Oryctolagus cuniculus: one gene and its partners. The protein of the gene in region 2 interacts with the protein of the main gene of each other region in a pairwise test. Links are inferred from orthologs where the notes say so. Each region holds a gene or a part of one and is shown on either strand. Other genes may lie near its edges.

What was found. The genes of interacting proteins can lie anywhere in the genome.
Region 1: the proteins of TRIM23 (region 2) and COX5B interact in binary tests that used the Homo sapiens proteins (3 or more experiments, as listed by UniProt). The two-hybrid records come from large-scale screens. The link is inferred for Oryctolagus cuniculus from reciprocal best matches to the Homo sapiens genes TRIM23 and COX5B.
Region 3: the proteins of TRIM23 (region 2) and LGALS8 interact in binary tests that used the Homo sapiens proteins (3 or more experiments, as listed by UniProt). The link is inferred for Oryctolagus cuniculus from reciprocal best matches to the Homo sapiens genes TRIM23 and LGALS8.
Region 4: the proteins of TRIM23 (region 2) and GPKOW interact in binary tests that used the Homo sapiens proteins (3 or more experiments, as listed by UniProt). The two-hybrid records come from large-scale screens. The link is inferred for Oryctolagus cuniculus from reciprocal best matches to the Homo sapiens genes TRIM23 and GPKOW.

Annotation. Positions count from the first base shown.
Region 1 is NC_091433.1:110,723,402-110,727,098, reverse strand, and holds COX5B (cytochrome c oxidase subunit 5B, mitochondrial), read left to right. Parts: upstream 1-1,291; 5' UTR 1,292-1,422; coding exon 1,423-1,525; intron 1,526-2,088; coding exon 2,089-2,162; intron 2,163-2,346; coding exon 2,347-2,446; intron 2,447-2,992; coding exon 2,993-3,105; 3' UTR 3,106-3,191; downstream 3,192-3,697. UniProt on the Homo sapiens protein: Component of the cytochrome c oxidase, the last enzyme in the mitochondrial electron transport chain which drives oxidative phosphorylation.
Region 2 is NC_091445.1:86,565,533-86,569,044, forward strand, and holds part of TRIM23 (E3 ubiquitin-protein ligase TRIM23), read right to left. Parts: intron 3,039-3,512; coding exon 2,917-3,038; intron 1-2,916.
Region 3 is NC_091444.1:61,238,301-61,242,589, forward strand, and holds the start of LGALS8 (galectin-8), read right to left. Parts: upstream 2,807-4,289; 5' UTR 2,450-2,806; intron 968-2,449; 5' UTR 858-967; coding exon 816-857; intron 422-815; exon of another isoform or gene 200-421; coding exon of another isoform or gene 182-199; intron 1-181.
Region 4 is NC_091453.1:34,252,576-34,256,556, forward strand, and holds the start of GPKOW (G-patch domain and KOW motifs-containing protein), read right to left. Parts: upstream 2,807-3,981; 5' UTR 2,773-2,806; coding exon 2,597-2,772; intron 1,824-2,596; coding exon 1,669-1,823; intron 1,564-1,668; coding exon 1,439-1,563; intron 1-1,438. UniProt on the Homo sapiens protein: RNA-binding protein involved in pre-mRNA splicing. As a component of the minor spliceosome, involved in the splicing of U12-type introns in pre-mRNAs.

The DNA.
Region 1 (3,697 bases), on a different chromosome or scaffold from region 2:
GCAGAGCCTTTAACATGTTGATTTGCACGTCCAAGAGGGTGGTCCTCACAAGCAGGACTGTCCTATCTTGGCCAATTCCTTTTTTCTGACCGCACATCTTGAGCCTTGGATTCCATAGAGTACTTCGGAAAACAGTATCCTCATCTGATTATCGTTTCACTGATTAGGACAAGGTGGCCAAAAAGAGAAAACAAAACAAAACAAAATCGGACTGAGCTGCCTGGTAGGGCCAGCTGTTTTCCAGACCAATGATTTTTTTTCTCACCAAACACCAAACCACAGGTACAAATCAACGATAGATCCTTGGGGACCATTCCTTGGTTTTAAATAACTTCCCTTCTGTGTAATCTAGAGGAGTTGCAGTGGATGTAGGAAGAAGGGGGCAACACTCAAAGCAAAACCCACCTTTGAAGAGGATCAAGTCAAGTCTGGTCTCAGGATAGAGACCATTTTTCTCCCCTTGGTGGAAAGGGCACCCAGGAAGACCACATGAGCTCCCCTGAAGGAGGAGGTCCTTTTGAGTATCATAACCCGTATGGGACCTCCACTCTCCAACCTGCCTCAAATTGCCCTATAAACCGATCCTGTATCCTCCGTCCAAGTACTAAAAATGCTATATATGCCAGGCCTCTGCAAGATACGTAACTCCACGATGATGCGGTATCATTTCCACTCTGAAGGGATTTTCCATCTGGTAGGGAACCGCAGACTTGCTAACACTTGATGCGAACCAAGCGGCGAGGAGTCGACAAGGAGGAAAGCGTTTCCCAAGGCTCTCCATGCCCACCCTAAGCCTGAAGGTAAACGGGGAGTTATTGGAGGATGTTGTCGGTTTTAAACAGAACTCTGGCCACACAGTGCGTTCTGCGACTCCACTTCCCATTATCACTTCCCCTTCCTGCTCCTCTCCTCCCCTCATCTTTTCCTTAGTTAATAACCCGCGGAAGGGTCACTCCCTCACCTCATATCATCAAAGGGCCTTGGTCCTGGGAGCGGCCACCTCTGGCTCTAGCCTCCTGCTCATCACCAGGGGGCTCATTACCCTACATAGTACACCTGTATAAGTAATTGGTACTAACGCAAGTCTCCTGACAGACGCTGACTTAAAGACTTCCGTCCGCAGCCTCCTCAGTGACCCAACCATCAGGTAAGACGCACAGCAACTCCCATTCGGCTGGGTCACTGAATTGTCCAAACCCCAGGGTTACCAAAAACCAAACCTAAAGACCCGCCATTGACGGGGCCCGAACCCGCGTCTTTGCAGTGCTGGGCATGCGCAATCTCCCCCACGAAACCGTCACGTGGACTCGGGAGCTGGTAGGAAGCGGAAGACTAACCAGGAGGAGAAAGAAGCCCGCCCCCGGAAGTCCCGCCCATCTCTAGAGCTTGTTCCCGGAAGTGGCGCTGTTTGTCGCGGGCGTGATGGCTTCAAGGTTACTTCGCGGAGCTGGAGCGCTGGCTGCTCAGGCCCTGAGGGCCCGCGGACCCAATGGAGCGGCTGCCGTGCGCTCCATGGCTTCTGGAGGTACGCGGCGCAAGGGACCGGTGTCGTTGCTCTCCCGGGGTGGTTGGGGCTGGGGCAGGAAAGCGGGTCGGGCTCTGCAGCCCCTCTGGGCCCCAGTGGCCACCTCTCGGCCCCGAGTGCATCAAGCTCTGCGGGCGTCGCCCTGTCATTTCGGGCTTCCGCTACTGCCGCCCACCGAGCTGACCCCGCAGAGTAAGACTCCTCAGCAGAGGTGCCGGATGACCTTGGAGGGCAGGGATTGCAAACGGGATGGAGCGGGACCGGGCTGCCCTTCAAACCCGCGCCCACTCTGAGCCGAGTGGACTCTGGTTGACCAGCTTTTAGAAAAATGTCGAAAAATCGGTTTTGGTGGTTGGAGGTGTGGAGAGAGCAAAGCTTCCGCTGGTGCTGGTCTTTTGGGGCTCGTCCCTAGAGGATCCTGGGTATCTGCAGCCTTTAGGAGCCCGTGAGCCCAGTAAAACATAGACAGGAGCTCGTGTGTGGCGTTTTCCGTCTTGATCATTTGCAGCGTGCCTTTTCCTGTCTGGGTCGCTAAAGGACATAATGCACGTGTCTTCCTTTAGGTGGTGTCCCGACCGATGAGGAACAGGCCACCGGGCTGGAGAGGGAGGTCATGATGGCCGCGCGGAAGGGACTGGTGAGGAGGGGCTCCCTTCTGTGTCTTCTGTGGTGCTCATGGGTCTGGGATGGAATCGGGGGAGTCGCCAGTCCTCTCCGTGCATTTGATCCAGGCAGCCTGGCTTGTGGGAGCAGGCCTCAGCTCCGGGAGGGTAGAAGTCTTATGGCATAGTGGAGTAATTCTTTTTTTTTTTTTTTTCCAGGACCCATACAATATGCTACCCCCAAAGGCAGCTTCAGGCACCAAGGAGGACCCTAATTTAGTCCCTTCCATCACCAACAAGCGAATAGTGGGCTGCATCTGTAAGTCCCTGACACGTTTTCTTAACTATTTAAGTAGTATATTCTGTTTGGGACGGCTATAAGCTGCTTCACATCTCGTGTGTGTGTGTGCAACTCTATGAATGTAAAGAGGATGTGTGTATAACTAAGTTGTTCCCAGAGTCCTGGCTCTCACGCAGTAGGTCATCCTTACTGGAAAGAGGTGTGGAACAAGCAGCAAGACTGGCTGGCTGGAAGTGCATGATGAAGATGGAATTTTCATTCACAAATCTTGGGCAATGTTTTAGGCCCCAGGGATGCACACCAGAGTGGACCCCGTTTGGAAGTCTGTGTAGGCAAGGGTATTGCTAGAACTTACAGTGACCTTGCTGTAAGGTCGGTATATGTGCAGGTAGATGCAGGGCCTCAGTTCTTCATCTGGAGAGTAGGGAGGAGAGTTTGAACTGATGTCCTCAGATGTCAGCCACAGTTTTATTTCTGTCTCCGAGGTGTCTGGGTAAAAAAGGTCAATGTTGAAAGTCTCTCTTCTTAGACCGGATGACTTTCAAACTCCTTTTGTCCTTTCAGGTGAAGAGGACAACAGTGCTGTCATCTGGTTCTGGCTGCACAAAGGCGAGACCCAGCGATGCCCTAACTGTGGAACCCATTATAAGCTGGTGCCTCACCAGTTGGCCCACTGAGCCCCTGCGCTAACTTAATCAGAATGTGCTGTGAGGTTTCTTCTTCCCAATAAAGATTAGCCATTGTATTGGCTCCTCCTCCCGTAGGTGACTGGCTTTACTTCTTTGTTTTCTTTTCCTTTTTTTTTTTTTGTAAGATTTATTATTTTTCTTTGAAAGGCAGAGTTAAAGAGAGGCAGAGAGAGGTCTTCAATCCGCTGGTTCACTCCCCAGATGTCTGCAGCGGCCAGAGCTGTGCTGATCCGAAGCCAGGAGCTTCTTCCAGGTCTCCCATGTGGGAAACCCCAAGGACTTGGGCCATCTTCCACTGCTTTCCCAGGCCACAGCAGAGAGCTGGATCGGAAGTGGAGCAGCCAGGAGTTGAACCGGTGCCCATATGGGATGCTGGCACTGCAGGCAGCGGCTTTACCTGCTATGCCACAGTGCTGGCCCCCATATATTTTTGGGTGGGTGATTCTTACATTGGGAATAGCTCTCTGTTAATACCAGCTTGCTACTCACAGTCTACAACCAGTGTGCACTGCTTAGATTAAGTAGATTAACAACCCGGAATGCAGTGCTTGGGAGCACCTAGTGCAGGGGAAAAGACAGG
Region 2 (3,512 bases):
AAAAAGTAATGTCTTAAAACTGAATTCAATCATTATAACATGACAGATTTTAAAATACAAAAGCCCATGATCTTTTTTAACAAATCAGACTTTTACATGAAAATGTACTGATAATTATGTACAAGAGACATTAGTCACTCATCTAAGAAAGCATTCATTTCTACAGGTAAGCGAGAAGCTATTTCCAGGATAGATTACCAATACCTATTATGAATTTGAGTCCAAAAATAGTCCATCACATATTCTCATAAATATCACAGTCAGTACAGTACAGTCAGCACAGATCTCTTCCATCAAATATCCTCACTTTACACACAAGAAACTAGACCACAGAAAGGTTAAAGTTTTTTTAAGATTAAAAAAAAATCTGACATTAAATATATCTCCATGATGTAAGTATAAGTATTACTTGTCATGATGATGGATAGGAAGGAAAACCACATCAGGCCAGCGCTGCGGCTCACTAGGCTAATGCTCCACCTTGTGGCGCCGGCACAATGGGTTCTAGTCCCGATCAGGGCGCCGGATTCTGTCCCGGTTGCCCCTCTTCCAGGCTAGCTCTCTGCTGTGGCCAGGGAGTGCAGTGGAGGATGGCCCAAGTACTTGGGCCCTGCACCCCATGGGAGACCAGGAGAAGCACCTGGCTCCTGCCATCGGATCAGCGCGGTGCGCCGGCCGCAGCGCGCAGGCCGTGGCGGCCATTGGAGGGTGAACCAACGGCAAAGGAAGACCTTTCTCTCTGTCTCTTTCTCTCACTGTCCACTCTGCCTGTCAAAAAATAAAAAAAAAAAATAAATAAAAAAAAACCACATCAATACTATTCTATTTATCCTGGGAGTATACATCCAAGTCATCTGTAAAGGTTTTAAAAACACAGATGTACAGGTTCCAAATTGGGACATTATTTCAACAGGCTATAGGTGAAGCATGGACCTGTGTATTTCTTTTGTAAATATACACAAGTATATTCTAGCAGCTCCACAGATGAGTCTATCATACATACATGGTTGGAAACCACTGATCTCAGCAAATAAAAATAATTAATAATAGAACACCATATATGCATCTAAATATTAGTTCTAATTTTCTAAAAAGCATTTCAAGTGGGTAAAAAATTGTTATGTCAAACTCAATAATGATTTGAAAACTTTGACTGAATACTAAAAGGACATAATTAGAAGGCTTTTAACTAAATGTACTATACATTTTTCCAGGAATAAAAATTAGAAAATACATCAATGGTGTTGTGTTCATTATCACATTAAACAAAAAAAAAAATCCCAAATTGGCAAGCTTTGTTTATAAGAAATGTATATTTGTAACAAAAAATCCACATCTTCTGTTATCCAGACCTGAAATCTACAAAGCAAACCTCAAATGACACTCAAAGCCTTTTAAAATAAAGATTAAAAAAAATAATATGGAAGACTGCAAAAATCATAGAAAAAGGAGTGCTTCAGTTTGAAATTCATTTCACTGACTCACTTTAATGTTAAGAATTAATCTAGTAGAAGGAAAATAGAAATCTAACTTTTTTTCTTTGATACAAAATACTTGACTTTAAAGTCAGTCACCAAAATCACTGATAATCACTTAATACAAATATTCTCCTATCTAGAACAGCCTAAGCAAGCCACATCTTGTACTATATAAGGTATGCGGACAATTCCTTAAGTGCTAAAAATGTATTTTAACATTGTTAAAATGCAATGTTAGTGAATTTTTTCTAGTAGTTAGTAGACATCTGCTTGTCTGCACAAAGAGAATATGTCTACACATAATTCTTGAATATATTTAGTAATAATTTCCTCAGAGGCTATTGCTACTTAAGGGGACTTTGCCTTGGGGCTGGCAAGCTACCACCTGCAATACTGGCATCCCATATGGGCACCAGCTTGAGTACCAGCTGTTTCATTTCTGATCCAACTCCCTGTTAATGCACCTGGGAAAGCAGTGAGAGATGGCTCAAGTGCTTAGAATCTTGCCACCCACGTGGGAGATCAGATGGAGTTTCAGGTGCTGGCTTCTGCCTGGCCCAGCTCCAGCCATTGCAGTCATTTGAGAAGTGAACCAGCAAATGGAAGATTCTCTAATTCTGCCTTTCAAATAAAATACGTAAATCTTTAAATAAAGGGGGGGGGGGGCAGGGGCAGGGGATTTTGTCTTAACATTAAAAGGCCTCTGGTGGGAGTTTCTCTTTCTTTTGTGGTGCTTTATTTTTGACCACTTTTGCTTTCTCTGCTCCACTGTAGCTGACACAACCTTTTTACTCTTCTATCATCTTCTTACTCTTTTTCACTTTATCCATGGGTAGAATTAAATTACGATAAGGAGAAAAATTTCACACAAAAAATATGTTAGTCTTAGTTATCTTCAAAGAATTAAATTCAAAGGTTGGCACTGTGGCATGCTATGTTAGGCTTCCGCCTGTGGTGCCAGTATCTCATATGGGTGCCAGTTCACATCCCAGCTGCTCGTCTTCTTATCCAGCTGTCTGTGAATGGCCTGGGAAAGCAATGGAAGATGGCCCAAGTGCTTGGGGCCCTGCACCCACATGGGAGACCCAGAAGAAACTCCTGGATCCTGGCTACAGATCAGCCCAACTCTGGCCGTTGTGGTCATTTGTGGAGTGAACCAGCGGAGTGAAGAACTTCCTGTCTCTCCCTCTGTAACTCTGCCTCTCAAATAAATAAATGTTTTTTTAAAAAATTCAATTCAAATAATTCAAGTTTCAGTTTTAGTTCTGTTCTGTTGGGAAAGATACTGCCTTCAGAACTGTAATGTAATGAAAAGTTGTGTTTCTAGAAATCTATCTGTTGAAGCAAATGAGGTAATATTGTTTAATAATGGCAAAAATTTTTAATTCAAAGAAAAATTCATGTTCACAACAAATATTTCACCAAGTTCAATCAATACCTCTCCAGATATCCCAATGGCTTCTTCTGCTGCTCCATACTGACCAATATGTCCATTCTGCAGTCGTTCCAAGAGCTCCAATAAAGCAAAATTTTTTTTCAATCCCCAGACTCCAGAATCTCCTAGAGATAGAAAAAAAAAACTAAATCTAAAAAAATGGAATATTAATCACTCTATATCTAACCTCAAAGCAATTTTCACATCTTATAGTTTAGTCATTAATAATGTCAAATTTGTAAAATCCAGTATTTCCATTTTCTTTTTAGGCCAGAAAAATTGCCTGTTAATGCTTTCTTTTTTTATTCTTGTTTATTTATTTATTTTTAATGCTCACTTACAAAAAAACAGAAGAATGGGGCTGGCATTGTGGCATAGAGGGTTAAGCCACCATCTACAGCACAGCACACAAGCATCCCATGTGGGTGCTGGTTCGGGTCCCCCTTGCTCCACTTCTGATCCAGCTCCCTGCTAACGGCCTGGGATGGGCAGAGGAAGACAGCCCAAATGCTGGGCCTCTGCACGCACATGGGGGACTCTAAAGCAATTTTTTAAAAGAATGACTTCCAACTACATCAGCAGTCACTAACATGTATTAC
Region 3 (4,289 bases), on a different chromosome or scaffold from region 2:
CGCCTCCACCTCTCTGTAACTCTGCCTTTCAAATAAATAAATCTTTTTTAAAATAATATATACAGGGATTTTAATCTATAAGATTATTCTTAAATAACATTGAAATAAAGCATCTTGTGTGTGTGAAGGGCAAAAGCGAACGCATAACCCATAACCCATCCAGCTTGAGCCAAGTACACACCTCAGCCCCTCTTAGCATCAGCCTGTTTTTGGTTTTGTTTTCCGATCTTTGCAGGAAGTCAGTCCACAACTACCCCCACAAAAGCATTTTAAGTGTTTCACTGGCTTCAGATTCTGTGACACTTCCTTTTTCAACCTACTACTGCTGAAGGGTCTTCTGAAACCGAGCTTTTGCTTGATCCAGTTTTTGCACTTTATTCTTGCACAATGACGTTCATACTTAGGGGGAAAACAACTGCAGCTACAAAATAAACAACAAAAGCCTGAGTCCATGCACTTTAATCGGCGCTTGCTTTGAGGCCTCTCACCCTGTATATTGGCCAATGACTTCCTAGGGGGGTTGTTGAGAAAGCAAGTGTCCAAATTCATGATTCAGCTGCAGGTAAGTGGAGACCAGATACTGCTGAAGACTCTCACCACCACCTGGCACTATAGCAAGCTTTTTATTGCCCAGATGTTCATTACAAATTTTCAGCAACTACAGTCATTCAGGGGCTGTTGGACCAGCATGGACTGGACAAGACCCTTACTTCTCCTTCTCCTTCTCCTCGCCACTGAATACTGACATTACTGTTCAGTTGGATTTGCTATCAATCGTCCCAGCAGTAAAGAGTGAGTTTACAGAAATCAGTTACCGGGTTATAGATGACATTCTGTAGGTTGTTTAAGGACAACATCGTTCTTCTTCGACCTGTTGATTTTGTTGATTGCAGTTTTCTGTGTATGAACTAAGATGGCAAGCAAATTTCACTTAAAGGTCACCCAGACTGAAACTGAGGCACTTGCCCTATGTAAAAATAAAAATGCAGGGAAATAAAAATAAGCATGTATTTTTTCATATCGTAACTATTTATAAATGTAATGTTATTTACTGATATTTGCCAAAGAGTAAGATGTTATTACATTCAAAGAACTGAACCCATTCTTACTAGTACACTTAAATACTAAATAATTTGAGTATAAGCACAAAAAAATTTTGGTAAATATCAGTAGAAAACTTCTAACATGGAATTTATTATTAAAAATTCTGCAAACAATATAATGGTAAATACAACCATCAGAGGTACTCATTTTTTTTTCTTGTCCATAAAATGGGAATAATATTCATACTGAAGATGAAATGAGTTAACAAAACCGCAGAACAGCATGTGCTGTGTGTGAGTTATTACTATGAGTAGAAGGAACATTCTTTCTACTCCAAACTAAACAAGTCATAAGGAGGGATAAAAAAGAACAACCCTTTGAATACAAAGAAGATCCAGTTTTTTTCTGTTGTGAAAAAAGTGTGTGGGGACATTTGCCATATCTTTAAAGACAACTGTGCTCATTAGCACTACATTCATTATCTCCACGGAAGAGTAGATGGTTATAAACAGAACGAAAGGAGAAACGAAACTAACTTCCTAGCTCTCACTTGCAGCTGTTGTCATTATTGCGATACAGTAACAGGACAATACCCATTGCCCAAACCTTTTTTTTTTTTTTAATCGGCATCTGTCTGGGTTTACCCACGCACGATAGTCAAAACCCCGAAAACTTTCATTCAGCTCCGTGAAACTCAGGAAGCACGGAGAGCAGAAAGGATGGATACAGTCACCAGAGCCACATACATAATTCACATAATCAGAGAGTGGCAAAATTTAAGCCGCAGGCTTGCATTAGACCCGTCGTTCCTCCCGAAATAATCACAAGGCCACAGATCCTGCCATCACACACAATTCCTCTGCTTCACGACAAGCCACAGACGATCAGAGGCAGAGGACTCGCGGGTTGACCGTTCACCACGGCGGTCCAGTGACTCGGCATCTTAAAAGACCGACCGAATTCACAGAGCCGAGGGGGCCGCGGGGAGCAACGCGGGTCTGACTCCAAACTGTTCAAGGACCGGTCATCCAGAACACGGGGAAGGAAACTCCCCGGCTTCCTTCTCTCGGAGGTGGCGCTCGGCCTGGGGCTGGCAGGGAGCAGGTGAGACAGCAGCCTAGGTACAGCAGGTTTGAGGCAGGCGACAGCCGATGCACACAGCCCGCTCCCAGCCAGGGCTGCCAGGAAGAACCGGGGCTCCCTATAACCCCCTCGCTCGCTCCCCGCCAGCCAGCCCCGGCTCCGCCGCGGTGAGGATCCGGCGACAGGGTGGACCGGACCCTGTCCCACTTATCAGACTGCTTTAGGGACAGCGACGAATTCCTCCTCGGCTGAAGCGACCACCGCGGCAGCCACACCCCCTGGCGACTGTCACCCCCCAGAGGCGGACGGACTCCCGACTTACCCAGGACTGGTGGTGGTGTAGGCGCTCCACGTAGCCGACAGTTTGTCCGCCGCAGGGTGCCGTCGGGATTCCCAGCTCCCGGAGGCCCAGGGCTACGGGCAGTGAGAGGAGTCAATCCACATACATTTCTCGTTTCGCCTTCCTTGATCCCTGTTGTCAGCCCAGTGTCCGGGTCCCGGGTGTCCTCCCCAACTCTGAGGACTTCTGGCTGGGAGCTCGGCCTCCTGCACAGCTTCTGGGAACTTGAATGGTGACAGGCTTGCTGTGGAAGGAGCAGAAAGGAACTAGGACGAAGGATTTGTCTTTAGCAACTTCCTGAGTGCATCTGGCTTCCTCTGGGAGGGAAGTGGGAAGGTAGGAGGGCTACTTTTGAATGGCTGACTGCTTAGTGTTTTATATAAGGGATCTCTATATTTAGTCTCTTCTTGGCTTCTAACCACCTGTGTTTTCAAAGACATAGTGTTACAATGAGCTTCCTCCTTTTGTTGTTAATATTTTTAAATTTAAGGTGAAGAATTCATTGCAAGTCCCAGAGCAGCAACTCATATTCTGGTTCACCAGTGTTTTCTTACTTCCTATCCATTTTCCACTTCTGATTCATTCCTCAAGATCCAACTTAAATAGTTTAACTCTAGATATGCATTGCATTACCTCAGATTTGCTACCTGTGAGGTGTGAGTTTTATCCATCCAACTTGATTGTACATTGAGCAAAGAAGCTTGTCTTATACATTCTCCAGTGCCCTGTGTGATGCTTTATTTGAAATGTACACCAAAAAATTAGGTTGAAATGTTAGGTAATTGGTAAGTGAGGAGCAATTGAGTGTCCTGACAATTTTGCCTGGGTTTGTCTAGTACTTCTTTGCAAGGTCAAAATAAGTTAAATACAAATCATTGCTGTTTCTTTATTAAGCTAAGTGGTGTTTAGGTATAAATGGGACTGAGTCAAAGTGCCAGAAACCCAGTATTAGCAAAGTATTTCTGGTTTTAATCACACATAAATGCTAAGAACCTATTCCTAGAAATACCTTCCTCATTTGTCACTTTGTGCAGTGAGCCTAGTGTGTTTTCATTTAAGACACACAAGCACATATTGAATGTGCTGACAAGGCACGGTGATAAGGAATACATAAAGACATCCCGGGACTTTCTAGATTGAAAGCTCCACATCTTACTAGATTACCAAAATAGTTTCCTAATTGATCTTCCTGGTTTTGTACTTGCTCTGCTGAAATCTACTCTGAATACAATGGCTACAGAGAGGATGATCACCACAAAATGTAGTTCAGACAATGTTAACCCTCTCCTAGGACTTTCTACTAACTTATGCTCATCCTTTGAGTAAAGGTGAGTCTTTACAGGAGCACTTCACAATACACCCTTCATCCCCACATACCGCAACTTCCTTTTCTGCTTCCTCTTCACTCTGAAGCAACCACACTGCCCCACAGCTATCCCCACAGCATGCTTGTCACACTCCCACCTCAGAACCTCGGTGCTCCACGCTTCCTTTGGTTCTCTTAAATCTACTCAAATGTCATTCTCAGAGACCCTTTCTGATCTCACGGTACTTAAAATTGTAAACACCCCAACACATACACATAATCCCTATCACTTGTTTATTTTTATCATATGTACCATTTTCTAATATGCTTTTTAATTTATATTTTTATTGTATTTGACTTCACTTATCAGACTCTTCCAGGGCAAAGACTGATTGTTCTTGCTTCAATGGAGCAGTATTACTAAATTCTAGTTGGGGACACAGATAGAGATGTATTGGAGAAAATTAAAATTTGATGATGTAATTGGCAGTGCCTGGGTGGCTCCTTTGGTTGGGT
Region 4 (3,981 bases), on a different chromosome or scaffold from region 2:
TTGTGAGCAGAGAGGACAGTAAGAGCAAAGGCTCTGAGGCCAAACAAAACTCGGTGTGTGTGAAGAGTATTATGAAAATCAACATGACTGGAACAGGGACATGGGGGCAGAGGAGCATGGGTAAGGGGTCAATCAGGAGAGCTGGGTGCAGGAGGCAGACAACCTGCAGGCAGGTGGAGGTCACATGAGGGGCCAGCGAGAAAGTCACTGCAGTCGTCCAGATGTGCGGTGCTGGTGGTGATGAGAAGTGAAATTCTGGATGCATTTAGAAAAAAGGCAAAGACGGCGTTGACAGATCATACGTGGGGGTATGACAGAGAGAGGGAGGGGCAAAGATGACGGCAAGGTTTGGAGCTGAGGGAGAGGAAGGACTATGGAAGTGTGATCAATTGACAGGTGGAAGGCTGCTGGAGGGGGCTTGTCAGAGGGAAAATGAGAAACAAGGCCAGAGCTGGAACAGGATGAAGAGTAAATGGAGGGTCTTTGTTTGTTTTTTAATGAAAGACACCAGAGCACAAATGAAGGTGGATGAGTTCACTTCTAATCACCCCAGTTAAAGCCAGGATGGTCGATGCTCTGTGGCCATAGGAGAAGTAGGCCCTGAGGAAGCAGTGCAAAATACTTATGAATGAACAGGTGAGAAGTCGAGTCCAAGATATGGACAGACTTGCTTACTTCCATGGCCCTGCCGCTACCCTTTCCTGTGGTCGCTTCCCGTCGTTACTCCTTCAATCCTTTCATTCACTCATTCCAGACACACAAGTTGTCTCACTAACAGACACACCACACAGCCTTCCTGCCATGGCCTGCTCGGGCAGCTGCTACCATTAGGAATACTCACCCTGCTCTTGCCTCTCTCGCTAAACCCTACCTCGCCTTCTCTCACGCCACTTGGATCTGAGTCCTTACCATCTCTGGTCTAGACTGCTGGGCTCCCTGCTTCTACCTTCACTTACTAGTCTGTTGTGTTCACAGTAGATTCTGTTGAATCATAAGTCGCATCCTTTCTCTGCCTAGGGCCCACCCATGGCTATCATTTCATTCAGGGTAAAAGCCAAAGTTCTCATCATGACCCACAAAGCCCTGCCTGGTCTCGCCGCACCCCCTCCACTGCCACCTGACTTCTCTTACTAATTCCAGTCCAGCCGCGTTGGTCTCCTTGGTGTTTGTCAAACACTCCAGGCAGTGTCCACCCTCATGGCTATTATATTTCCTCTTCCCTCTGCCTCTCACCCCATTCAGACAATCCTAGGATCCAACTTCATATTCCAATATCTGGATTCATGTGTTAATGTTCCCAAAAAGGCTGGAAGGAGGAAGAGCTAGGCAGTAGGCCTCCAGTGTACACACAGACTTTCTTTGCTGTGTGTAAGAAGGCATGCATGGCAGACAGGGCAAGGAGAAACCAAGGGAGCAAGGGGGTAAGGGGCCAACTCACAGTTTCAGCTGAGTGTTCGCTGTCTACCCCTTCCTTGTTGGAGGTGTATCCTTTCTGGATCATGGGGATAGTGAGCATGGAGTCGGCATTTGCATTCTTTCTTTCTTCCAGGGACTTCTCGGTTTCTAAGGAAGAATGGGAGGGAGCAATGAGGTCCCACCCCATGTATCTTCCACCTTCTTCCTTGTCTTTCTTCACTGGAGCAGGGTGGGGAGAGGGGGCCCACTTACCCTCAATCAGTTCCTTCACAGCCTGGGACAGCACCTCATCCATCAAGGTCTTGGTGTCTGTGGATAGCCCAGAGGGCTGGACCAGGGGCTGCCTGTGATAGCCATTCTGAATCAAGGGAATGACAGGTTCCTTGGGGACCTCTGAGGGCTTCACACTGATGTGGACAAAGAAAGGTAAGGTGAGGAGAGAAGCAGGGTCCGTGGGTTCCAGCTACACCCCCCCTATGCAGAGAAACACAAGAGCCAAGCCCCCTCCTAGCTCCATGGACCATGCCTCTGATTGCACGTCATTGTCCCTCCAGCCCTTAAATGACAGTATCTTCCAGGAATCATTGCCAGGCCGTCTGTTCATCCCAAGAACTACAGATGACCATTTGCAGCCAGACTCTTCCCAGCTCCAGAACAGCCTCCTAGGCGGTTGCTTCTCTTCTGCGAGTCCCTCCCTCAGGCACTTCAGCCTCTTCTTTCCTAAAGATGCTGATGCGGCCTCCCTCAACCTGAATCTGCAGCTCCATCTCGTTCCCCGTATTAGAGTCGCCCCCATTCACTTTAGCTGAGACAACAGGGTCCTGTAATTATTCCCTCTTTCCCACTTATCTGAACGCACACACCAGAGTGTCCCAGCATCATAAAGGTATTCCCTGTCATGAATGTGAGGGCATTTCAAAAAGTCCATGGAAATGAATACTGAAATAATGCGCATTTCCCACGAACTTTCTGAAGTATCCTTATACATCTTCTCAGTCCACACGGCCATGAAAAGCAACTTCCCTACTTCTCCCACAAGCTCCTGCCTTCTCTCCTCCACGGATTTCCTGAGGCCGTGGTTCAGGCTTTCCAGGCCACTGTCATCAAAGCAAACTACTCGAGTCCTCCCGCTCGCACCCACGGCACCGATTTACAAGGGGCGAAAGACCCGGCGCTTCACCTTTGTAGCTGCCTCCCTTCCACGGTCTTCAAGAAATCCTTCTCCTCTGGGGCGGACTCTGCGCCATCACTTAGGGCCACCAGCCGCCTCCGAGAGGACGTACGAGTAAAGGCGAATGAAATTGGGGCAGTAGAAGGTGCAGTCGGCTGCAAAACACCATCTTCGGCGTCTGCCATCTTGCCCCAGTTCCCAGGCTGGTGCGCTGCTTGCTGGGAAGTTTAGTTTGGGTTCAATTCGCTAGCGGCAGTCAGACAAGCGCAAGAACTACATTTCCCAAAAAGCATTGCGGCGTCGGCCGACGAAACCAAACAACTAGCCGTAGGAAGTTATTGTAGCGCGTCTGAATTTCACAGGAATGCGCCTGCGCCAAGTATACCGGGAACTGTAGTTCCGCCAAGAGGCGGTAGCGGTAGAAGGTAGATTCCTTCTTCCCAGGAGTTCGTTTCTTCTTGTTTTAGAGAATGGTCTTGAAAACAGGTATTCCATTATTCTAACAATCTCATGGCTATGTTTCCAGTTTAGAAACCCTGGGCATCTTGGGATGGGCCCTGAACTCCCAAAGGAACAGCTACAGTAACTTTCAAAACAGAGCAATAAATTTTTAAAAAATCTTTATTCAGCAATACTTTTAGACTTACATGTCGCGAAGTAATACTGTTCTTTTTTTTTAAAAAAAGATTTATTTATTTGAAAGTCAGAGTTACACAGAGAGAGGAGAGGCAGAGAGAGAGAGAGAGAGAGAGAGAGAGAGAGGTCTTCCATCCAATTGTTCACTCCCCAGATGGCCACAATGGCCAGAGCTGTGCCGATCCGAAGCCAGGAGCCAGGAGCCTCTTCCCAGTCTCCCACGTGGGTGCAGGGACCCAAGGACTTGGGCCATCTTCTACTGCTTTCCCGGGCCATACCAGAGAGCTACACAGGAAGTGGAGCAGCCAGGTCTCGAACCGGTGCTCATATGGGATGCCGGCACTTCAGGCCAGGGCGTTAACCCACTGCACCACAGTGCCAGCCCCAAGTAGTGTTCTTTTATATCTTTTATCCAGATACTCTTAAGCTTTTTATATAACAATAGTATAATTATCAAAATCAGAATGATGCAATACTATTAGCTGTAGACAATTTTCTGTTCCAGAATTCAGAATTAAACCTAAGATCACATATTGCAATATAATTGCAATGCCTCCTTTCTCTTCTTCAGTCTTGTGGCAGCTTCTCAGTCTTTCTTGACTTCTAACTCTTGCAAAGTACAGTTCATTTTTTTGTAGAACCTTCCTCAGATAGGTTTGTCTGATGATTTCTCATTGTTGGACTGAGGTTATGAATGTTTGGCAAAAAATGATGCAGAAATGATGTGCCCTTCTAACTATATCATACTAGGGGATTTG